2 linked regions of the Ovis aries genome follow. The protein of the gene in region 1 purifies or fractionates together with the protein of each later gene. This does not show direct contact. Links are inferred from orthologs where the notes say so. Each region holds a gene or a part of one and is shown in the gene's direction. Other genes may lie near its edges.

Region 1 (4,224 bases):
AGCAAACTACAAAAGGTGGTACAATAATTAGATTGTGATGAGTTTTCAATACTTTTTAAAAATTTTCTTTAAATTATGCTTGCACTTTTTTTTTTTTTAAATATGTGACCACACAGCACGGTGTGAGGGTTGTTGGTTCTTGGACTGGGAGTCAAACCCTGGCTCCTTGCAGTGGAATCTCAGAGCCCCAACCACTGGACCAGCAGAGAAGTCCACAATTTCATGTTCCTAAGTAACTTTTTTGAAGAAACTTTTAAATTTTTCTTTATTTGCTGTCTTAAGCCAGGCTCGTGCACAGTATGCAGGATCCTAATTCCCTGACCAGGAAACTGAACCTGTGCACCCTGCTTGGAACCACAGAGCCCCAACCACTGGACCGCCAGGGATGTCCCCAGAACTAATGGTAAATGTGCTTTTCAAAAGTAATTAAGGACACCCCTCTCTGTTCCTCCCTCCACTTTAAGAATCCCTGACATAAAGGAAGGCATAAAGGCATAAAGGAAGGACCAGCCAGCGGATATCCTCACTTATGAGTCACTGGAAAGTGGAGGCCTTAAGGGACATAAAGGTGAAGTTAGACAATCTTGAGCCAGTCTTTTAAAAACTACCAATGATAAACAAACGGGCATTGACTTGGCAAGCAGGACTTTTAATGACAGGCTGATGTAGGCTTGCAGAGTTTGAGAGGGTGGTTTTTATAACAGGCGAGCTCCTTTAGGCTGCAGTCTTTAGCATAACCTGGCTGTCTGCGACTTGTGGCCTCGCACCTCCCAGGTGGAGGTCACAGACTCTCCCGTGGTGAGGATCCCTAGATAGAGCGATATTGTCCACAGGAAGAAGAGAGAGATGGCGAGGTAAGGACAGTTTCTTGAGGGAGAGAGGAAGGGAGCCCTTTATAGGTACGAAAACTCCGGGTGTTAGCCTCGATAAGCGGATCTGCGGAAGCACCAGCTCTTTTACTCCCCTCTGAAGTCCAAAGGTGCAGCCGTGGCTTAAAGGCCCTCGGTTCCGCCCTGGGGCCTTTGTTCCGGCGCTTAATGTTCCAGAATCAAACGCCTGAGGGATGTGGGCGGGGGCGGAAGCTGCAAAGCAGCACACTGGGAGCGGGCGGAGCGGAGACCGCGTCACCGCTGCGGCCGCTAGGGGGCGCGCGAGCCCCTGCAGCCGCCCGGCCCCCGCGCCTGCGCAGATAGCCACGTACGTGACCGCCGCCCCCGGGAGTCCGCGCCCCCGCGTGTTACATAACCGGTTCCCTGGCGGCGGCGGGGGTGGCGCGTCTGGCTCGGAGAGCTGGGAGCGTTACCAGCAATCGCCATTTGGTCACCACCCTTGGGTTTGGCGCAGTGGCTTTTCATTTTTTGAGTCCCGACGCTGCCATTTACCAGCTCTAGTCACAGACAAGTCGGTTAGCCTTTCCGAGACCCAGTGTATAAACCTGTCAACACTGGGCCATCTTAGTTGTGTGGATTAAATGAGAGGTGATGGGGTTGCATCAGGCACACTTAAAGTGAGCTCAACAATTCTCAGGGCTTCCCTGGGGGCGCAGCGGTAAAGAATCCTCCTGCCAGTGTAGGAGACAGGTTCTATCCTTGGGTGGGGAAGCTTCCCCTGGAGGAGGAAATGGCAACTCACCGCAGTACTCTTGCGTGTCTCCACAGAATTCCATGGACCGAGGAGCCTGGTGGGCAACAGTCCAAGGGGTCGCAAAGACTTGAACACGACTGAGCACGGGAGTCTGCACACAAACACACCAATTCTCAGATTAAATAGGGTGGCAGGTCTCCAGGTACTGCTCCCCACCGACGGTGGGACTGGACTCTGCCCTTGGCCCTGGGCCTGAGCCTGACTGCGGTTCTAGTGTTTTGCTTTTCAAACTAGTGTTTTTAAGCTGCCTCTTTTCCGTATAACACGACCCACCTGAAGGCAATCTAACAGTTTCATCTGGCGCCCACCCAAAGAAGCAGCAGTTCCTTCCCGCGCTGGGAGGAAAATGGGCTTACTTAGCGAGGGCCATCTCCAACGTGGCACAGGAGTATGACCTCAAGAAATCACACGTGCAATTGAGATTCAATAGATGTGTGAAGACAGGTCATCAGGTTCTTCTGCTGTTACAGGGACAGCAAGGTACGTGTGAATCTTAAATCAGGAATGAGAACACACTAAACTTATTCCTGGAAGAAATGAAGCAGAAATAGGTGCCTCACAATGGCCATACATGGCAGAAAAGGAAAAAGAAAAACTTAGCCTTGTCATAGTTCACGCTTCGGCCAGACAAGAGGGCGTTGGGATGGAAGAATTTCACAACTAGCCAAGGATGGCATAACAGGTTTAGAAACCAGATATGTTCCAACCGTTTATGAGGCTGTATCTGTGGGGGAACCTACCCAGGACTACTAAGAAATATTGGCCAAAGCGCTGTCCCCCAGAATATAGCAAGGTTGGTATCTTCTGAGGGGGACTTGCCCGACTGCTTTTATGTTTCCAAACTAGTAGCTCAAGACCCTGGTTTAAAAGTAAGGAAAGACTTTGTGGGGGCTTCCTGGTGCCTCAGCAGTAAAGAATTCACCTGCAACACAGGAGAGTCGGGTTCAATCCCTGGGTCAGGAAGATTCCCGGGAGACAGAAATGGCAACCTGCTCCAGTATTCTTGCCTGGGGAATCCCATGGATAAAGAAGGCTATCATCTACGGGGTCTCAAAGAGTCAGACACGACTGAACAACAACAAAATGAGCTCGTGACCACCTCTTCCACCTCCTTTCCTGGAGGCAGTGAAGCAGTGTGTTTAATAAAGCCAGAGAGTTCTACAAAGATACAAATCCCAGTGTCCTTAAAAAAAAAATTTTTTTTTTTTCTTCTGTACTCCAGCATTTCAAATGCAAAGTCCTGGGTAGCTGCAGTATTTTTCTTGATTTGCTTTTACAGTCTACATCCTAGAAGCTAAGTTGGACATCAGAGAGAAAGGCCTTGGCTTTGTCATTGCCGCTCACAGGCAGCAATACCACTCTGCAGTCCCACACGCTTTATGAATGCGCTCATAAAGGCATTGAAGTTTTCTTCCCCCTAACATCACCCCATCCTTCGTTCTGCTGTAAGCGTGAAGTTCTGTTTCAAAGTCACATGCATGAGGCTGAGATTCCTCCTTGAGAGCCAGGGAGAGCTGATGCTGGGCTTAATGTGGTCATGAGTTGAACAATTTGAAGATGCTCCAATATTTCCAGTTGCATCTTTTATATTCAGCAGGCATGGAAACAAACCTCAGACAGTCCTTGCATGTTGGGAAGAATGTGTTTAGAACTTTAAGGGTTTTCTGTTGACAAGTGAAACTCACTGAGTGGCCTAGCAAGTGGATCGTGGTGGCTCTGTGGGAGAAACTGAAATACACGAAGAACAGAAAACCAGTAATAAAAAGCTGAGGAACTGATAAAGAGAAAGAACGGAACAGCTCAAATTTTCATAAACTTGTTAAAGCGTTCCATGCTGTAAATAACTGAACGATTTCATTTCTGAACAAAATCCCTCTGTGGCGAGAAACCTGAAAATTACATGTGGTTAAATCTATACATTGTAATTCCTTGTAACCCAACAATTCTGCACGTAAGTATGCCCCCAACAAAAATGAGCTGCCTAGGTCCATTAAAAGACTCCTGATAACTATACACAGTAGCTAAAGATGGAAACAGTTGTGGTATATCCATACAACATGCGTATGCCCTGGGCTCAGTTTTGTCTGACTCTTTCTGACGCCATGGACTGTAGGCCACCAGGCTCCTCTGTCCATGGCATTTTCCAGGCAAGATTACTGGAGTAGGTTGCCGTTTCCTCCTCCAGGGGATCTTCCCGGGCCAAGTCTCCTGTGTCTCCTGCATTTCAGATGGACTCTTTACTTGCTGAGCCATCAGGGAAGCCCACGCTTACAATGGAATATTCAAACAACTATCATTTCATGCAACAACATGGATGACTCTCACAGACCTAATGTTGAGGAAAAAACAGGTCAGACACAAAAGAATACAAAGAATACATACTGTATTGTTTCATTTGCAAGAAATCGATGAAGTCAGTTAGTCAGTTCAGTTGCTCAGTCATGTCTGACTCTGTCACCCCATGTACTGCAGCACACCAGGCCTCCCTGTCCATCACCAACTCCCAGAGCTTACTCAAACTCATGTCCATTGAGTTGGTGATGCCATCCAACCATCTCATCCTCTGTCGTCCTCTTCTCC
Region 2 (4,360 bases), on another chromosome or scaffold:
TGTCCTGGCATTCTCCTTCACCGCTTTCAAGTCTTTTTGCTCAAATGCCATCTTCTCAGTGAGATCTACTTGGATCCCTCTGTTTAAAACTGCATTCCTCTTCTCTGCTTTATTTTACTCTATTCAGTTCAGTTCAGTCGCTCAGTCGTGTCTGACTCTTTGCGACCCCATGAATCACAGCACGCCAGGCCTCCCTGTTCATCACCATCTCCTGGAGTTCACTCAGACTCACGCCCATCGAGTCCGTGATGCCATCCAGCCATCTCATCCTCTGTCGTCCCCTTCTCCTCCTGCCCCCAATCCCTCCCAGCATCAGAGTCTTTTCCAATGAGTCAACTCTTCTCATGAGGTGGCCAAAGTACTGGAGTTTCAGCTTTAGCATCATTCCTTCCAAAGAAATCCCAGGGTTGATCTCCTTCAGAATGGACTGGTTGGATCTTGCAGTCCAAGGGACTCTATAGCTCTAACTTATTTCTCACATTTTATGTATGAATGAACAGTTCGGAAATGTGTAGAATACAATACTGGGTATATTGTTCAATTCAGTTCAGTCGCTCAGTTGTGTCCGACTCTTTGCGACCCTGTGAATTGCAGCACGCCAGGCCTCCCTGTCCATCACCAACTCCTGGAGTTCACTCAAAATCACGTCCATCCAGTCGGTGAGGCCATCCAGCCATCTCATCCTCTGTCATCCCCTTTTCCTCCTGCCCCCAATCCCTCCCAGCATCAGAGTCTTTTACAGTGAGTCAACTCTTCACATGAGGTGGCCAAAGTACTGGGGTTTCAGCTTTAGCATCATTCCTTCCAAAGAACACCCAGGGCTGATCTCCTTTAGAATGGACTGGTTGGATCTCCTTGCAGTCCAAGGGACTCTCAAGAGTCTTCTCCAATGCCACAGTTCAAAAGCACACACAGGTATATTGTAGATTCTACATATAAATTATATTCCCTTTATTTGGCCAGTGGTTTGAGGTCTGAAGTGATAAAGCGTAGGGGTCTTAGGGTATAGGATGTGCTGGTATACCTGATCAACCTCTTAGAGGTTATTTCAGTGCCAGGCCCTCTTGAGTAGAAATATTAATAGTTAACACGTTCGTGCATGGATTCATTGATTCATGCAAACAAATATTTCTTGGGGCCCTTCTATGCGCCAGTTCTTGAAAACAGCTATTACAAGCATTTCACTCAGGATAACGTCTTTTTCGTAACCTCCCCACAGCACGCGGCGGTGGAAGACACATACTCCTGCCAGCAGAGGGCGTCCCCTCGCCCTCGCGGCGTGTTCTGGGCCCACGACGCTTTCAGGCTCCCACGCTCGCTCCCGAGCGCGGCCCCGCCTGCCGCGTCACGTGACGCGGCCGCCGAACCAGAGCGGCCGGTCCCAAACCGAGCTAAATTCGTTGCCAGTGGCCTCTGCGGGTGCCACCACAGAGGCTCATCTGAAGGAGTGGGGAGGCTCGTGGAGCCGATGCTTCCTCTTCCGATTTCAGGTCGGCTCCTGTTCCCTCTCACCTTTCGCCGCTGCCGTCTCCCCGAGTGTTTGCATGAGCTCTCTCGTACGGGGAGGCCCCGGTGACCATGTAGGGAGGGAAGAGCGAGGAAGCTCCGGGAGTGAGGGACGAGGTCAGCGCTGTGTGCACGCCGGCGCCCACCACATCCACAGTGCGGGCCGGGGGGCCCCTCGGCCCAGGTGGGACACTCGGGCCTGCAGTAGTGGCCTGGCACGGAGCTCCACGAAATCTCGCGCGGTCTCGCGAGAGTCTAAGTTGAAGGAATATGGCGACGTCTAATCTGTTAAAGGTAAGACCCTCAGTCCGTCTTGGATTTCTACTCCGGGAGCGGTGGGTTCAGCTCTCGGGGAATGGCTCGGTTCTGGTTCAGCGGCGAAATGGGGGAGTGTTCAGGGGTTGTCTACCGGAAGGGAAGCCAGGGAGGCAGCCGCCGAGGAGTGGAACGCGATTCTCCGGCCTTGGGGTCGAGAGGCCCTGGTTGTCCCTGGTGCCGGTTGCCTGGTGTATGAAAGGCCCGGCCGAGGGCCGACGGCGGGCAGTGGTCTCAAGGGGCCAGCGCTGGCTCGGGACCCCGGAAGAAAGGTGGTGCAGCGTCCTGACGGATCGGTCAGTTAGTGTCCTTAGGGTCTCAGTTTCTTCTGAAGCGGGAGTCTTGAGACGCATTAAAAAAAAAAAAAAGAAAAGAAAATCCCAGAAAATGTTGCTAACAGGTTTTAATGACTTGGATCCCCACCTCCTCAGTTTCTCTTCTCATTCTGTCTGCGCGGAATTCCAAGTCAGACGGCAGCGCCTGAAGCCCCAACTCCCTCCCTTAACTGCGGGCTACACCTTCTCTTCTGTTCTTCCTTTCTTGAGTTCGTATGTTTACCCTTTTTAACTTAGGAAACTGTTCCTCAACCCCATTACAGCACGCAACCAGATGACTACAGTGGAAGCACTGCCGTTGTCTTAGGGCTTAGGAAAGTTGCCTTATCAAAGACAACCGTTAAAGTTAGTTTTATGTATTTGGGATAGCAAGGGGGATCTAGGCCTAGAGAAGCGGATTCTTTACCATCAGTTACAAAGTTGAGAGGAGAAGGAGGAAGACCTGACACTAGTTTCGTCTGTGGTATGTTTGTAGTAGGCAATACTTTATACCTTAAAAGTACTACTGAAATGGGGGTAGTGGATGAACTACTTCTCCCTCAAAAACCCTGTCAATTAGGCCTTCAGACAGTGTTGATAGAGAATAGAAAATATATTAAAACTTACTGTAACCTCACTCTTGTCTTCTTTAGACTACTGATACTAACTGTATTAGTCCCTCTAATTTTACTAATTTTAGAGGCAGTGTGTCTTCTTTTGGAGAAGGGAATGGCAACCCACTCCAGTGTTCTTGCCTGGAGAATTCCATGGATAGAGGAGCCTGGTCGGCTACAGTTCAGAGGGTCACAAAGAGTGACACTACTGAGCAACTAACAAACATATATACACCGCCCCCGCCCCTCCCCGCCCCGCCCCTCCCCTCCTACCCAACCCCGTGTCTTCTTTTAAAAGAGGGAGGGACCTAGAACTAGACCTAATTTCTGCTACTTAGAATTTCTGCTCCATGACTTTGGGCAAGTTTCTCTCCGTTCCTGAGTTTCCTCATCAATATAGTGAAATTATCAATAGCACTTACTTCATAGGAACTTTGTGAAGATTGAGTTAGTATATGTATAATCTTAAAACAGCGACTGGATCTTAACTGGCATGCAATACACATAAATTGCTACAGTTACTACTGCTGTTTCTCTAAGAAGACAAGTTCATGGGAGTTGAGTAACTCACTTCTTTTATAGCAGTATAGCAAAGTTCTAATATATTAATTCAGAAAGAAAACTAACTTGCAAAGACTCCTGTTAATGTATCCATGTATTTACATAACCAATAGTGTATGTTATTAATTGAAATGTGTTGAAGAAGTAATTGTGAATTTTTGACTTACTGATAATGTGGATGTAAAGCAAAGTCTTTTTTTCCTCCCAGATTTGTGTCTCAGGAAAGAGTGAGTCACTTTATTCTACTCCATACAAAGCCTTACAAAGCATTGTTTGGAGGAGATAAAAGTCTGAAGCTCCTTCGTTCAATACTCTTAAGTCGTTACCTTGTAGAGATTATGAATCTGTATGTATAGCACACACCCACCTATAAACTGAAAACACCTGAATGTATAGAAATAGGTGCTTAAGACTTAGGTTAAAAAGATCATAATTCGAGCAGTTCTGTAACTCAACTTTTATAAATAAAAGGAAAGTGATAATGTTCTGACAAAACTGGTAAAAGTCACAGTCTCTAGGGAATACAAAAAGATGACAGATACACTGGAAAATTTTCAATAAAATTATTTAATGAGATGTTGAAAAGGGGGTAAAAGAATTTCTCAATATTTTATGTAGTATGTGATTTTTAAATACATACAACTAACAGTGGATATTATAAGTAGACATTTGATTCTTTTATCTGTATCACCAAAAGTTTCCTTATTTACATTGGTCAGAAAAGTTTTTTTTCCTTTTTTTCTCTCCTCATTGAAGTGTGTGGATGGGGGGGATGGCGGGGGTTGTCTTGTATTTATGCCTTTAGAAATATTTAATGAAAAAGTAGGAAGTTTGTCTTGGAGAAATGGCAGGGAGACCCTTACCAGAATTCATAGGGTCATTTGAATTAAAGTCTGGAGGAGGTTGAGGGGAAGGGATGGACTGGGAGTTTGGGATTAGCAGATGCAAACTACTGTACATATAGAAAATAGAACGGATAAACAACAAGGTGCTACTTACTATATAGCACAAGGAACTATATTTAATATACTGTGATAAACCACAGTGGAA

Evidence for each region.
Region 2: the proteins of SPSB2 (region 1) and CUL5 purify together in Homo sapiens (affinity purification with mass spectrometry; 4 studies listed by BioGRID and IntAct, counting the BioPlex papers as one, with this or other methods). This does not show direct contact. The link is inferred for Ovis aries from reciprocal best matches to the Homo sapiens genes SPSB2 and CUL5.

The regions. Positions count from the first base shown.
Region 1 is NC_056056.1:209,407,738-209,411,961, forward strand, and holds the start of SPSB2 (SPRY domain-containing SOCS box protein 2), read left to right. Parts: upstream 1-1,250; 5' UTR 1,251-4,224. UniProt on the Homo sapiens protein: Substrate recognition component of a SCF-like ECS (Elongin BC-CUL2/5-SOCS-box protein) E3 ubiquitin-protein ligase complex which mediates the ubiquitination and subsequent proteasomal degradation of target proteins.
Region 2 is NC_056068.1:17,272,356-17,276,715, forward strand, and holds the start of CUL5 (cullin-5), read left to right. Parts: upstream 1-1,347; 5' UTR 1,348-1,776; coding exon 1,777-1,800; intron 1,801-4,360. UniProt on the Homo sapiens protein: Core component of multiple cullin-5-RING E3 ubiquitin-protein ligase complexes (ECS complexes, also named CRL5 complexes), which mediate the ubiquitination and subsequent proteasomal degradation of target proteins.